Oryctolagus cuniculus: one gene and its partners. The protein of the gene in region 3 purifies or fractionates together with the protein of the main gene of each other region. This does not show direct contact. Links are inferred from orthologs where the notes say so. Each region holds a gene or a part of one and is shown on either strand. Other genes may lie near its edges.

Region 1 (5,486 bases), on a different chromosome or scaffold from region 3:
CAGATTCCAATCCCAGCTGCTCCACTTTCCACCCAGCTCCCTAACAGCCCGGGAAAACAGTGGAAGATGGCCCAAGTGCTTGGGCTCCTGGACCCAGGTCATCAGACTCCGAAGTAGCTCTGGGCTCCTGGCTTTGGCCTGACCCAGCCCCAACCGTTGTGGCCATTTGGGGAGTGAACCAACAGGTGGAAGATCTCTCTCCCTTTCTCTTCTCTCTGTAAGGAATAAACCTTAAAAAAAAAAAAAAAAAAAAAGTCTGGCATCCTGGAAACCTGTCGGCCTAGGGTTGCCACGTGCCTGTTTCTGAATTCGTGGGTGGAGCAGAGGACACTGCAAGGCTGAGGCCAGGGTCCTGGTCACGCGGGGCTCCCGCACCTGCACCTGCTGGACCCGCGACCCCCGCCCAGGGCCACTGAGCCTTCCAAAGGTGACTAGGTGGGCTGAGGACCCGAACTGCATTTTCCTTCATCTTCATTGAGTCCACTTTGAAAACTGAATTTAAAAGCTTAGGATGTGACCCTACTTTTTCACTTGTCAACTTAATGACACCTGGACAGGTAGGGTTCCGACGAACACCCAGCGTCCAAGTAGAGGCTAAAAGACACAGCACATTTTGAAGACATGGGACGTAGGAATGCAATGCGTCTCGTTAATAATTTTATATTGATGGCTGAATACTTTTGAAAATACAACAGAATATTTCTTTAAAAATCGGTTTCTTCGTACCTTTAAAAAAAAAAAAGCGGTTAGTATCAAAATTGAAATTATAATATGCGGCTCGGTGGTTGCTAGCGGACAGGGCGCATCCAGGGGGCCCGGCGAAGGGCGAGACCCCCCAGAAGGTGGCCGAGACTGGCACGACAGGCACGCGGAGAGCAGGCGCTGGCGCCCGTGGCTACGCCCCCGGGGTTCTGGCAACGCCGAGGGCTGGCAAATGCCAGTTCTGACCCCGGGGCACGGGAACGGCCTGCGAAGGGAGCTCTCGAAAGCGTCATCGGGGCTCCGTCCGGGCCCAGCAAAACCGCCCGCAGGCCCCGGGCGCGCCCCGCCCGGACCTGCGGCCTCGCCCCGAAACGCCGCAGCTGCAGCCCGCAGGCCAACGGCCTCCATCCCCGCCCCGGGCAGGTCCCGCGGGCGCGGGGCGTCTCCCGAGGCGGCCGGCGGAGCTCTCGCGCAGGCCGCAGGCGGCCCCGCGGCCTCCACGCCCCTTCCGAGTCCCGGAGCCCGGGCTGATGACGAACACAGGGCGCGACGGACGCACACGCCGCCCCGCGCTCGCACGACGGTGCGTGCAGGGAAGCGCGAGGGAGCCCCGGGCCGTCGCCGGCGCCACCAGCGTCCCCACCTCCTCCGCTCCCGGCGCTCCCGCCGGCCCGGCAGCTCGCCGCCCGCCGCCCGCCTCCGGCCGAGGCCGCCGCCCCGCCGAGGCGCCCGCCTCGCTGCTGTCTCTTTAAATGGTGGGGCCAACGGGCCGCCCCTGCAGCTGCTGCCTGGGTGGCCCCGCGCGCCGCTTTTGAGGGGCGAACCAAGATGGCGGCGGCTTTGGCTCGCTGAGGAAGACGGAAGAGGCGGCGGCAGCGGCGCTGGGCGAGCGGCTTGCAGCGGCCGGAGTCGCTCTGACGCCGGGGGGCCTTCGCGGGCCTGCCGGGCGCTGGTAGCCGCCGCGGCGGGGGCGGGCGCCCGTCGGCTCCGGCCCCTGGGAACAGCGGGAGCAGCGCGAAGCCGCCGGCCGCGGTGGCGGGGCCAGGTACAAGGAAGGAAAACATGGCGGCGGCGGCCTGAGGCGGCGGCGCGGGAAGCGGCTTGGCGGAGATCATGGCGCAGGCGGGAGCAGGGCAGTGTTAACCGGGCCCCGAGTTGCTGCCGCGGCGGGGCGGGAGGCTCCGAAGCGCTGCGCGCCCCCACCCGGGGCGGCCGGGCCTCGCCGGGCCTGGACAATAGCGCCGAGCGGCCGGCGGCGAAGCGAGGCGGCGGCCCTGAGCGCGGGCCCGGCGGCGGGACATGCGGGCGGCGGCGCGGCGGCAGTGAGGCCGGGCAGCCCTCGGCTTGCGGGCGCCCTCCCGCCTCGGCGCCCGCCTTTGCGGGACCCGCTTCCTGGGCGACTGCGGCGGGGCCCCCGGGCCGGCCCCGGGCGCGGGCACGATGACGGACACCCGGCGGCGGGTGAAGGTCTACACGCTCAACGAGGACCGGCAGTGGGACGACCGGGGCACCGGGCACGTGTCGTCCGGCTACGTGGAGCGGCTGAAGGGCATGTCCCTGCTTGTCAGGGCCGAGAGCGACGGTGAGTGGGGCCGCCCGGGGTCTCGGGGGGCCGCGGGTGCCCCCGCCGCATCCGCCGGCGCTCGGGGGCCGGGCGCTGGCGAGGCCGGGGGCCCGGGATCGGGAGCCCGGAGCGCGCTGCTCTTCGCACCCGAGTGACCTTGAGAAAGGCGCCGGTTACTCCCATCTCCTGCCTTAGTTCACCCATCTGTAAAGGAGGCGTGGAACTTTGCGGGGAGCTTAGCGAGGTCTTGGCCGTGCCCCTCGTGGAAGGACATTTCGCGTGGGTTTTTGCTGGTTTGTGGGTGTTCGTTTTGTCTGGCTTCGGCCGTGTGTTTCAGGTCCCGGTGCGGGTTGGCAGCCCTGCCCTCGGCAGAGAACGGCCGCTTTGCCCTGGCCAGGGGAGCCCCGTGTGCCCAGCGTGGTTCTTGGCCACAGCGAGGCAGCGTGTGTTTGTCGTCTCACTGTGCAAATGTCCTGCAAGTTCGGGATGGCTTTCCTTGCTGGCTTTTGGGTTGCTTCAGTGCGTGTTCACGGTTCGGTTCGGTTAACAGGTGGGGGGAAGTTGGCAGGTCCTGTGAAAACCTTTAGCGTCTGCCGGAAGCAGCCCTCAAGGTCCAAAGACCGCGGTGTTTGAACTAGGGAGGCTTCGCCTTTTAAGACTTAATCTGTGCGGGGGTTGCCTCTTTCCCTCCCGGCGTTCTGTGAAGTTCACTTAAAGATGTTCAGGTTGGGTGAAACTGTTTCCAGGCCGTTTCTAAAGTGAAAGAAGCTCTTTCTCACCTATCTTGTTACATTGGCTGGTAACTTTACAGCCCCTAACTGTGCTGCTTGGTTTTGATTGTAGTCCTTCCCTATCTGAATTACTACAAACCGATTTCAAGGAATTGTCCTCATTTGAATTCTACACCGAACTCCAATTCCATGGAAAACAGACGAGACTAGATATTCTGTAATGGAAGACTCGAGGAAATAGATGTTCAGTTTGTATTGAAAATGGTGATTTGGAGTATGTTTACCAGATTATCAGGCTGTCTCTGGTAACTGGAGACAAATAATTTGGGGGGGGGGGCTTCAAAGCTTTAGAAATTGGGTATATTTTTGTGAGATGGAGTTGTTATTTGCCTTAAAATAGAAGCTGAGTGTCTAGAGTTGGTGTGCTTTTGTCCTCCTGTGGGGGCCGTCCCTTCTGTCCTACCCTACCTTTTACATCCTTGCACATTTGGGAAACTTTTTTACACAGTGAATTGGAAAACATCGGCTTAGGTTCATTTAGCTTCTTTTTAGATGAAGAGATATGTAAATTTGAGCTCAATTTGAAATATGCTATTAAAAATAATCCATACAACCTTATTTCAAAAAAAAATCTGTTATCCCCCCTTACATTTTTACCATTTTGGAAATAGTCCCTCATCTGCCTTCCTCCATTTGGAAGGGAGAGGACTCTGAAGTGAAGCAGGGTGGATGCTGACACAAAATGGCTTTGATCTTATCTAACAAGGAAAGGGGGACTGAACTGAACTCCATTACTAATGTGCCCTTTCAGATTTAAGTTATAAGGAAAACTATCCTAAGAATGGACTTAGATTCCAAGATATTTGTGTGACATTGTTGCAAATACTATTTAGTTTGATGATTAACACTTTTTTCTGACAGAAAAACTCCGAATAGAAATAGTCAGAATGTATTGAATGCTTCTGTGTGCCAGAGACGCTGTAAGCAGCTGATGTGCACTGACTTACGTAGTTCCCACAGTCCTGTGTTGTTAGCTGTGTTTTACAAATCGGGAAGCCGGGGCTTAGACATTCAGGAACAGGACCACAGAGCTAGTTCAGAGACGAGGTTAGTGGTCAAATTGAGTGTGTTCTGGGTTTGAGTGAAAATCTAGCCTGTCCCTTGAAACTAGTGATTTTTAAGTTCCTGTATTGCTGTCTGCTTATTTTTTCTGCTTTATTTTTAGCCTGAAGGTTTAGTTGAAAGAAAATGAAAATAATTTTTAGCCTGAAGATACTTAAAATTACAGTTTATCTCTCTAGGTTTATAGGATAATTAAGAATTTTCTTTTTATTGTGATGAGCAAAATGAAAACTATTTCTGATTCTCCATAAAGTGAGTCATTTATCCAATAGAAACGTAAGATTATTGAGCTTTTCCATTCTTGGGCTGGACCTGGTTGTTTAAGTTTTTCCTTTATTTATTTTTTTAGTCTTTTCAAATCAGAGGGATTGACGATGTAAGTGCTAACTTAGCATTACTTTTTTCCACCAGATTCTTTAGACTCTTCAGATTTCTTTAATGTAAGAAAAATAAGATTCTTAACACTTGCAAAATACTTGTAGCCTGTAAAATTAATTAACTTTTGTGATGTGTTAATTACCCATATTATAAATAGGCTGTTATTTCACAGTTCAGCTAATTTAGTGAGAAATTGCTCATTGCTGGGTAGGTGCATACCTGTGAAAAAGGTGGAGGTAACAATTTTTTTACATTTATATATAGATACTCTCAAGAAAGCTAACTAACTTGTCTAAAGCTTACTTCATTGACAGCGTATGCTCTGGTTCTTCACTCAGGTCTTCCTTTTTTTTCTTTATAAAAATGATTTATTGGGGTCAGCGCTGTGGCATAGCAGATAAAGCCGCTGCATGCAGTGCCAGCTGCTCTACTTCCAATCCCACTCTCTGCTATGGCCTGGGAAAGCGGTAGGAGATGGCCCAAGTCCTTGGGCCCCTGCATCCATGTGGGAGACTGGAAAAAGCTCTAGCCTTCACATAGGCCCAGCTCTGGTCGTTGCAGCCATTTGGGGAATGAACCAGCGGATGAAAGACCTTTCTCTCTTTCTCTGCCTCTGCCTCTCTGTAGCTCTGCCTTTCAAATAAATCTTTAAAAAATGATTTATTTATTTATTTGGAAGGCAGACAGAGTGACAGGGCAAGATAGATCTTGTGTCCGCTGGTTTACTCCCCCAATGGCCGGGACAGCCAGATCTGAGCCAGGCTGAAGCCAGGAGACTGGAACTCCACCTGGATCTTTCTCGTGGGTGGCAGAAGCCCACGTGTTTAGGCTGTCATCTGCTGCCTTCTTAGGTGCATTAGCGGGAAGTTGGATCTGCTGTGGAGCAGCCCAGACTTGAACCTGCGCTCCAGTGTGGATGTACTGTACACATCTGTACTGGTACACAGCTGTACCACAGGGCCCACCTGCTGGGGCTTACTTTGAAGCTT
Region 2 (4,777 bases), on a different chromosome or scaffold from region 3:
ATGGGTGTTCTGGTAGCCAGCTGGACTTGGCGCCACCTGGTGGTAGCTCTGGGGGCTGGGACTGGGCTGGTAGGAGCCTTGTGGGGAGGGGGCAGCATAGGGGGAGAACTGGTCTGTGTTGTACCTACAGAGACAAGGGAGCATTTGTTGAAGCAGGGAGGGCAAAGGAGGTGATGGCAGTGGGGAGCGATCTGGGCTAGGAGCACGCCTAGGTGGACTCACATGGCCGGGGTCCCTGGTGTCTGTGGGTTGTACTGCGGGTTGACCTGCGGTGATGAGGGGTCTGGGTAGCCAGGTGTTTGGGGATTGGGAGTTCCCCCGTAGGCCTGAGGGGATGGGGTGGGCTCATCGTCGAAGGCGTATTCATATTCTTCCTCAGCCCTGTTGGACCAGACGTGTTGAGAACGATGTGACAGATGCATGTGGAACAGCAAAGCGCACCGGGCCCCAGACGGACTCCTCGCAGGAGCCCCATCCAGAGGTGTCCCGGCCACAGCCGCGACTGCTGCAGGGGAGAGAGCTGCACGCCCAAGGTCACGCCCAGCACTAACCCAGCCTGGAGCAGCCTGTTTTGCCCAACTCCAGCCATGCCTGCTCTTCCACATGGACCAGCCTGGGCTTGGGAGCAGAGAATTCCCCCAACAATACTCCAGCACACACCCCCAGTGTCTGGAACCCTAGGGCTCACCGTGATGGCGTGTTGGGGTTATTGGGGTCCCAGGCCCCACTCTGGGCAGGAGTGCGGCTGCCATCATGCAGGGGTGTCTGTGAGCCATAATGTGGGGTACGGCTGCCTGGAATTGGGGAGACAACGGCCATCAGTTCCGCCCGGCCTCCGGTTCCCCCAGCCACCCCTCCCCCATCCCCTGGGAGGGCTCACCATCCTGCAGCGGCGTCTGAGAGCCGTACATGGGTGTGCGGGAGCCAGAGCCATACATAGGCGTCTGGGAGCCGTACATGGGTGTCCGCCCATAGGTTGAGGTCATGCCACCAGGGCGCTGTGAGCCACTGTGAACAAAGAACAAGGGGGTGAGGAGGACCCTCTCAATGCCCACCACACCACCAGGGCCCTCCCTCAGCTGGGCCCATACACTGTGGTAAGCCGCTGACGGTCCACAGAGATGGTCTGGCAGGTGGAATGCAGCTCCACGCGGGCCGTGGATTCTGTGGCATCCTTCACCACGCCGATGTAGCCTGGTGGGAGGTGGGGGGTCAGGCCAGGTGGGGCGCTCGTGCACAGCGCCCTCCCCGGGCCTCCACACGGTCTCACAGGTCACCTTTGTAGGGCCCCTGGGAGATGCGCACAGTCTGGCCGATGAGCTCATTGTCTCTCCTGCCCCGGCCTCTGCTCATGCCGCCACCTGGGCTACCAAAGTCACCACGCTGACCTGCGGAGGGAGGAGAACATCACCAGTCCCCCAGGGCCGTACCCCCTTCACGTGCTGGGCCCACAGCCAGGGCACCCGCAAACCCTCTTCCCCTGCTTGTCTCCCCCCTAGTTGGGTTGGGAGCCTCCTCTGCCCCAACCCCTGGGCCTTCCCATCACAGCCCTGACCACTCTGCTGTCACTGTGGGGTTGGGCTCGTCTTCCCCCGAGCTCTGAGCCCTACAGGCAGGGCCTGGCCCAGAGCAGGTGCTCAGGGAGAATGGGCTCTCCTCCAGCCCCTCCCCACCACCCGACACATCCCTGGCTTCTGACCCCTCTCACCTCCAGCGCTGGGATGCATGGGGCTGCTGATCCGGGGGCTCATAGGGGCAAAGCCACCCACGGTGAAGTTGGTCATATCTCGGGGCTAGGGGAGGGGCAAGGAGTGAACCTGACAGGCAGGGGATGGGGGTGGCAGGGCCTGGGCAACAGGCCGCAGCCCCTACACCGCATCGACCGCCTCCATGTGGAGACAGTCCCTGCGTCACCTGCCCAGCAGCCATCCCTCCCTCCTTCAGGGGAACGGCTGGCCCGCTGCCACCCTGGGCCTGTCAATCAACAGCCCCCGGCCTCCTAGGCCAAGGAGCAGGACTGAAACATGACAAGTCAGGAATTAAGTCCCTAGCGACACAAAAGCCGCAAGCCGTGAACGTTCATCATCCCATCTGCGGGCCCCCGGAGTCCACCTTCTGGGCCCAGCTACTGAGACCCCAGGCCTGACTTCCCTGCCGACGCCCGGTCTGTACACTTTTCTGCAAGTCCCATCCGGGACCTCGGCACGTGCTGTTCCCCAAGCTGTCCGCTGCCCTCCACACCTTCCTTCAGTCTCTGCGCAAAGGCCGCACCTGCGGAGGCCTTCCTTCCCCTCCTCTCGGAGCAGCCCCTCCTTTCTCCATCTCTCCCCGTCTGAAATCCCCTCGCGGCCTTGCCAGCACCCCACAGGACACGTACGCTCTCCTTCTGCTCGGCTCCAGGAAGGCCAGGTTGGGTCTTGCTCTATCTCATGTCTGGCACCCAACAGGGGTTCAAAAAATAAAACTGAACGACGGAGTGAGCGGGGGAGCTGCTCAGAATCCCACACTCGCCAAGGACCTGCCACTGCCACCTGCTCTCTCCTAATCCCCCACAATCCAATCTCCTCCCACCTAGAGCCAGAGGAGGCTGGAGAGCTGAGCCAGGCCGCCACAGACGGGGTCACCACACCAGCCTCACCTTCGAGCCCCCGGCCAGCACCAGGTGCCGGGTCTTGCAGACAAACATGCCTCCATTCTCCACCAACTTCTTGCAATGCAGGAAGGCGAAGATGTGGAAGATATAGCGAATCTCGCCCTCGCGGCCCTAGGAGGCAGAAGGGTCACTCTCCTGCCTGCCCCGCCTTGCCCCCGACTTCCCAGTGGGCTCAAGGGCAGGGTCTGCACTCACTGAGTGGGGGCCATCGATGACCTTGACGATGTCTTTCACGTGGATGTTGTTCTGTTCTGAGTCCAGGGACTCAGCAAAGCGGTTGTCCTTCTTCCGGGTCACAGCTTGATGCCTGACGGTCACCACCTTCCCGTACATGTTCAGCACCTACGGAGGGACACGGAGGGTGGCAGGGAGTGAGGGAGAGATGGGACACGCAGGGAGTACAACAACCTCAGACCTTCTCATGGAATGAACACAGATGCTGCTATTATCCCCATCGTCCAAGAGTGAAACTGAGGCAAAGAAATACCTGCCACCTGCTCACTGTCACAAAGCCACAAGTGACAGGGCCAGGCCTGCAACTCAGAGGGCGCTGGGTTCGTAGCCACTGTGCTTGGCCACCACCCGCCCCTACCCCCAGGACAAGGGGCTCAAGGGAAAGGAAGCTCCCACCGCAGAGAACTGGGCACACACCTGGAAGGTCTCCCGCTCCAGCCGCACGATGACGCCCACAGTCTGGGGGTCCAGCTGCACCATCTCACCCCATTCGTGCTGGCCCCCAACATCCACACCTGACGCAGTCTCTGAGCAGAGCTGCAGATCCCGGGGCAGCACCTTCAGCTGTGGGGGAGAGGGTGAAGGTGTGAGCAGGGTCTGGTTTTCTGGTCTACCCGGGTCTCCTCTAGGCACGTGCCCCAACCAGGCCTCCCGTGCACCCACCTCGTGCATGGTGAGGTCGGAAAAGAGGATGACGAAGTTCTCCTCCACCCGCACAATGAGGCCTGTGTCGCCCTCAAAGCGGCCAGCGATCACCTTCACGTGGTCCCCCATCTTGAAGTATTTCCGGAGTTCCTGGGCCGGGAACTCCAGCATGTCCTGGGGAAATGGGTGCAGGGACACTCAGGTGGGGGGCGGCACCACACCCACCCACCCCCCCCATCCTCAGAAGCCACTCATTTACTCGGGAGACCGGCTCAAACCTGCTCCCTGAGGCCACCTGGAGAGCTCTCAGACCAACACAGCGGCCCCCACACACACCTTTACCCACAAAGAAAGACGAGACACACGATGTGTCCCCCAGAGACGGCTGACCCTCAAACACATGACACACCAGACAGCCCACCCAACAACCAACACAACCCACATCACCCCAACACGTACATACCCGCTCAGAGCAATCTGATTTGTCACATACTCAACCTGATACATTCCCAGATACCCTACTTTTTATACTTCTTTTTAAAAAGATTGACTTTAAAATAATGTTTATTTCTTTTTGTTCACAGAGCAACAGAGAGAGAACTTATACCCACTGGCTCACTCCCTAATGCCCCAACAGTTGGGGCTGGGCCAGACTAAAGCCAAGAGCCCAGGAACTCCGTCTAGGTCTCCCATGTGGGTGGCAGGGGCCAAGCATTTGAGCCATCAAATGCTGCCTCCCAGGTGCATCAGCAGGAAGCGGGATCAGAAGCAGACGAGCTACTCTGATACACAATGTGGCCATCCCAAGTGGCGGCTTAGCCAGCTGAGCCATTAACACCTGCTGACCCACCCCTTAAACCACACATCCTCCTTCAAATGGCCACATGCAGGCAGGACACACACAGTCCTTCCCTTACGCCCCAGGAGAGAAACACAGCACACACACCCCATGTACACAGCCAGGCCTCCACATACAAACAGTCCAGCAGTTCCCCGGAGACCAGAAGCCACAGGCCAGGACCACAGAAACTAACCATTATTTCATCCCAATCACAAAAGCAGGTCTGCACTGACCCCACCCAAGTGCACATGTTACGACCTCACCAAACACTTGAAGGCACTGGAAAGTGCTAGAAAGGTCTGGATGTGCCCTACAACACTGACAGACGTCCCTGCCCGGAACTCCAGTCCCTGCCTCTCGGCTGAGTGAGCAGAGGGACCCGGGACCCACCTTGAGGTCCTCGT
Region 3 (5,544 bases):
AGAGGTGTCTTCCATCCTCTGGGTCACTCCCCAAATGGTCACAATGGCTGGAACTGTGCTAATCCAAAGCCAGGAGCCAGGAGCTTCTTCCAGGTCTCCCATGTGTGTGCAGGGGTCCAAGGACTTGGGCCATCCTCCACTGCTTTCCCAGGTGCATTGGCAGGGAGCTGGATCTGAAGTGGAGCAGCTGGGACTTGAACAGACTCCCATATGGGATGCTGTTGCTGCAGTCTGGGGCTTTAACCTGCCATACCACAGCGCTGACCCCTCCACTCATAATTTTAAAATAGTCACAAAATTATTAAAGCTGCAGTAGCATATAATTCCCATCAATTTGTTTGACAAAGATTTAAAACAAAGTTTTAAAACAAAACACTGTATTTGCAGTAAAATTGATACACATGGACATTTCATTCTTTTTTAAATTTTAGTGGTCATCTATTTTTTTGCTGAATAGCAGAGACCTGGGAGTAGGAGCAAGATAGGTAGAAACACCTACCAGGCAAAGGAGAGAGAAACTGTTCACTCACTTGGATGCAATGCTCCCACCCTACTCTGCACTGTGGCTGGGCAAATGGGAGCCACAGTGTCCTACCAATCTGTGATAGTGAGGGTGGAGAGGGGATAATGGACAGTGGAGTACAAATTGAGCAAACACTGTTGCAACAACAGAGCCAATAGCAGCTGCTCAGAAGTGGTTTGCAGCTCTCTGTCTAGGCAAGAGCTTCCCGGGTGGACACAGTGTATGGGAGAAGGAAAGCTTCCCAGGGGAGTTGTCTCCAGAAGGGAGACCCATATTTGTCATGTTTTGGCTACCAACAGGAAATACCTGAGGCCGGCTGCTTTATAAAGAAAGGAGGTTTATTTTGGATCATGGCCCTGAAGATTCACAGTTCAAGACTAGGCAACTCCCATTGGTACAGCCTCTGGTGACCGTGTTCTTTGCAGAATTCTGAGTTGGCACAGGATATTACATGGCAATAAATGGGCAGCTTGCATGCTCTACACCGTCTTTTCCACCAGGATTCATAGAGGCTACACCTTAATTACCTAAAACAATCTAATCTCTTCCCAGAGATGAGACCCTACCTCTATGTATCCTGACCACATTACATTTCCATTCCTTTCAGATCATTCACATATAACTTTGGGAACTAATTCGCATGAGTTTGCAGATAAAATCATATTTGACTTATAGCAGGGAGGAATGATATACCTTTGCTAAAAAGTCTGAGCCGATCTCAGTTGGACAGACCAGGCGCGTGATCTAACTCAGCCAGCCTCAGAAAGTCACTGGGTTCTCTTTAATTGTGGGAGAATCCTTCTTCCACTGAGGTGGTCCAGGTATTGAAGAGCTAAGCTGCCCAGAAAATTCTCCACTGATTCTTTTTTCTTTCTTTCTTTCTTTTTTTTTTTTTAAAGATGTATTTATTTACTTGAGAGGCAGAGTTACAGACAGAGGAAGAGACACAGAGAGAGGTGTTCCACCTGCTGGTTCATTCCCTAAATGGCCACAATGGCCGGAGCTGGGCCATCTGAAGCCAGGAGCCAAGAGCTTTCTCTGGTACTTGTTCCTCTGATTCGCATTAAGGGGAATCTTCCCATCAAACCCAGATCCGGGCGGGACACAAAACTTGAGCTGTGACAGTGGAGAGAGGCCTTTTTCATCAGTACAATTAATGCCTTTATGAAAGCTACAGGTCAATGAAATCATGAAAAAAAGCTTGCTGTCCTTCTAGTGTGTGGGATTGTTTTTAGTCATCTACGTGGGAAAAGAAAATACTATACAGGTCCCTCACCCCGGTACGGGACCGGGATGACTGCGCACGCGCAGAGGCGGTCTGCTCACGCTTCGCAGCTCGGAGGGGCGGGGCGAAGGTAGCCCCGCTCCACCCATTCGCCTTGGCTTTAACTCCTTGCCATCCCTCCGCCGAGTTTCCTTTCTTTCCCCTTTGACCTCGGAAAGAAGGGGGCGGGGACTTTAGGGGGCGGAAGTCGCGGTGCATTGTGGGTTCGGATAGAGCGGCGGAGTTGAGCCTGAATGAAAGTGGCGCGCCGCCCCTGATGTTATCCGGCTAGGAGCGGCTGGCGTTCGGATCCCAGGCGGTGTTCGGGTGCCGCGGACCTCTGGTGGGCACCAGACCTCGAGGAGGCGGCGGCAGAGGCGCGGCGAGTGTTGGTGAAGCCGAGCGGCTCTGCGCGGCCCCAAGACATGGCTCAAAACAAGATCCCACCGCGGTGGCTGAACTGTCCTCGGCGCGGCCAGCCGGTTGCAGGTAACCCGGGCAGGAGGTGTTCCAGGTCCCGCACCCACACGGGCAGGGGGTGGGCCGCCCGGGGAGCCCAGCTTTCGGTGGTCCCGGGTCTGTCAGTGATATTTCAGGACCCCGATGTGCCGGGTCGAGAGAAGCTTCGTGGATGAGTGTTTGGGACCGCGGACGGGAGGGGGTGGGTCGGTCGATGGGGGTTACTTGTCACTGCGCCTGCAAGGCTAAGTGTTGCGGACGGGATGGTTTGTGCGGCAGGAGTGGAGGACCCAGGACACTGTAGACAGTACTTGGAAGCTTACAAGTTTGTGAATCTTCTAGGGTTCAGCCCTCCCGTTGGAAGGAGACAGGGCGGGTTAGGGAGGGAGAAAGGATAAGGAGGAGGAGGGCATGTAGCGCCCAGTGGGGAAAACGGACCGACACCGAGGCTGAGAAGACGGAGGTTTTTTGTTAAGTGACTTTTATTGTGGGTTTTTCATCTCTATTGAGTTTGAAATATAATAAGCTTTAAAGTGTACAGTTTGATAAATTGAGACTATACGCACGTATACATTCTAGGAGACACCTATGAAACCATGGCCCCTCAAAGTTTCCCCTTGTTTCTTGGTAATCCCTTCCTTCTTAGGCAACCAGCCATCTACTTTCTATAGATTAGTTTGCATTTTCTAGAGTTTTTTAAATTCTAGAAATACTGTATGGGAGCATATAGTTGGGGTGTGCGTGTCTGGCCTGTTTTTCTCAGCTGTGCTGTTTAGAGACTCCTTCAGGTTGTTGCGTGGATTGATAACTCATTTCTTTTCGTTGCTAAGTGGTATTCCTTTTGTTAGGGATACTCTGTACTTTGCTTTCTGTTCTTCTGTTGATGGTCTTTAGGGTTGTTTCCAGTTTTTAGCTATTACAGATAGACTTGCCGTGAACATTCGTGCACAGTTATTTGGGTGGAAATCTCTAGGAGAGGAATGGCTGGATCAGGTATAGGTGTACGGATAGTTTTCTGAGAAACTCCTGCTTCTCTTCCGAGGCAGTACCATTTTCCGTTGCTGCCATCAGTGCATTTTATTTGTTCGCGTGGTCCAGGACACTTGGTGTGGTCAGTCGTATTAGTTGTAGCCATTGCGATAGATGTGGAGTAAGATCTTTACGTGGTTTGATGTTGAGCGTCTTTTCACGTGCCTCTTGACTACTCATATCTTCTGTGAAGTATCCAGATCTTTTGCTGATGTTGAAGTTGGGCTCATCTCACTGAGTTGTTAGAGTTCCTTATACAGTCTCTGTTGAATGTATGTTTTTGCAAGCCTTTTCTCCAGTCTGTGGCTTACTTTTTCATTCTCTAAAATTTCTTTTGAAGGGTGAAAGCTTGACATTTTAACTAACTTCAACTTACTGCTTTTTCTAGGAGCTAGTTTTGAAATGAAATTAAAAGATTTTGTAGCTAAGAGTATTTACTAATTATGTACATATTTATTGTGAGCCTAATTATTTCAAATTATTGAGGAGGAGATTCTGTAGACACTTTTTGTTTAGGTTTGTTGAATCTTCTAGTTTGTCAGATTTTTGCATTTTGTGTAAAATCATCAATGAAGCATACAAACAATGGATAAAAGTGATATTGAAGATGATCTAAGCAACTCTTAGTGTATATTTGGAATTAGAAAACAGTTTGCAAATCAAATTGAGTTTTTTTTTTTTTTTAATTTATTTGAATGGCAGAGTTACAGAGAGAGAGAGAATTTCCATACATTGCCTTCATTCCCCAAATGGCCGCAATGGCCAGGGCTGGGCCCTGTGGAAGCCAGGAGCCAGGAGCTCATCTGGATCTCCCATTGAGGTGCAGGGACCCAAGCACTTGGGCTGTCCATTGCTTTCCCAGGCACGTTAGCAGGGAGCTGGATTGGAAGTGGAGGATCTGGGTCTGGGACTGGATCTGGTGCCCATATGGGATGCCGGTGTTGCGAGTGGCTGCTTAACTCTGCCAGGCCATGACGCTGACCCCACCAGTCAAGTTTTTAAAAAATTTTTTGGGAAATTGAGCTAAACTAGTGATGGTGTGCTCCAGATTTGTGGTGCTCAAACTTTAGAGTATCTCAAAATAAAATGGAAGGCTTATTAAAACCTCAGTGGCATCCACCCTTAGAATTTTCATTTTTCATTAGTTCCCAGATAATGCTCTTGATCCTGATCTGGAAACAAATTATTTTTTTCATGGAATTTTAAAACAGAGTTTTTTTTTTTTTTTTTTTTAATGATTTAATTATTTATTTTTGAAAGAGACAGAAAGAGATATCTTCCATCTGCTAGCTTACTCCCCAGGTGGCCACAATGGCCAGGAGTGGGCCAGGACAAAGCTAGGAGCCAGGAGACTTACCTGGCTCATCCACGTGGGTGGGCAGGGGCCCAAGCATTGGGGCCATCCTCCGCTGCTTTTTCCCAGGCCATTATCAGGGAGCTAGATAGGAAGTGGAGCAGCTGGGAACCAGCACCCGTGTGTGATCCTGGAGTCTCAGCTGGTGGCTTTACTCACTATGCTGCAATGCTGGCTTCTAAAACAGAGTTTTAATAAAAGACTCACAACTTGGCTGTGGCAATCAGAATACTGACTTTAGTTAGAAACATAGGACAAAAGTGGCACTAGTTGGAGGACTGGTAGTAGTGAGTAAGGTGCTTTGATCCAGACAGTTTATATCTCTCCGAGAAAGGGAGTTGGGTGCCTTATTAAAAATCCTACTCTGCAAAAGCAGTGGAAGATGACTCAAGTGCTTGGGCCCCTGCACCAGTGTGGGCGACTGGAAGAATCTTCTGGCTCCTGGCTTTGGCCTGGCCCAGTCCTGGTTATTGCAGCCATTTGGAGAGTGAACCAGTGGATGGAAGTTCTTGCTGTTTCTCCCTCTCTCTGTCAGTAATTCTGCCTCTTAAATGAATAAATAAATCTTTAAAAAAATCCTACTGTGCTGGTAATGAAGAGGGTCTGGGATAGTTTTTTTTTTAATTTTTTTAATTATTTATTTATTTATTTATTTTGACAGGCAGAGTGGACAGTGAGAGAGAGAGACAGAGAGAAAGGTCTTCCTTTGCCGTTGGTTCACCCTCCAATGGCCGCCGCGGCCGGCGCGCTGCGGCCGGCGCACCGCGCTGATCCGATGGCAGGAGCCAGGAGCCAGGTGCTTCTCCTGGTCTGCCATGGGGTGCAGGGCCCAAGCACCTGGGTCATCCTCCACTGCACTCCCTGGCCACAGCAGAGAGCTGGCCTGGAAGAGGGGCAACCGGGACAGAATCCGGC

What was found.
Region 1: the proteins of RNGTT (region 3) and PPP4R3A purify together in Homo sapiens (affinity purification with mass spectrometry; 3 studies listed by BioGRID and IntAct, with this or other methods). This does not show direct contact. The link is inferred for Oryctolagus cuniculus from reciprocal best matches to the Homo sapiens genes RNGTT and PPP4R3A.
Region 2: the proteins of RNGTT (region 3) and SUPT5H purify together in Homo sapiens (affinity purification with mass spectrometry; 3 studies listed by BioGRID and IntAct, with this or other methods). This does not show direct contact. The link is inferred for Oryctolagus cuniculus from reciprocal best matches to the Homo sapiens genes RNGTT and SUPT5H.

The regions. Positions count from the first base shown.
Region 1 is NC_091451.1:36,887,536-36,893,021, reverse strand, and holds the start of PPP4R3A (serine/threonine-protein phosphatase 4 regulatory subunit 3A), read left to right. Parts: upstream 1-2,005; 5' UTR 2,006-2,142; coding exon 2,143-2,284; intron 2,285-5,486. UniProt on the Homo sapiens protein: Regulatory subunit of serine/threonine-protein phosphatase 4. May regulate the activity of PPP4C at centrosomal microtubule organizing centers.
Region 2 is NC_091449.1:15,496,288-15,501,064, forward strand, and holds part of SUPT5H (transcription elongation factor SPT5), read right to left. Parts: coding exon 4,764-4,777; intron 3,707-4,763; coding exon 3,551-3,706; intron 3,452-3,550; coding exon 3,305-3,451; intron 2,996-3,304; coding exon 2,849-2,995; intron 2,765-2,848; coding exon 2,639-2,764; intron 1,794-2,638; coding exon 1,709-1,793; intron 1,389-1,708; coding exon 1,278-1,388; intron 1,195-1,277; coding exon 1,092-1,194; intron 1,009-1,091; coding exon 881-1,008; intron 795-880; coding exon 689-794; intron 382-688; coding exon 223-381; intron 125-222; coding exon 1-124. UniProt on the Homo sapiens protein: Component of the DRB sensitivity-inducing factor complex (DSIF complex), which regulates mRNA processing and transcription elongation by RNA polymerase II.
Region 3 is NC_091436.1:83,492,970-83,498,513, forward strand, and holds the start of RNGTT (mRNA-capping enzyme), read left to right. Parts: upstream 1-1,974; 5' UTR 1,975-2,212; coding exon 2,213-2,276; intron 2,277-5,544.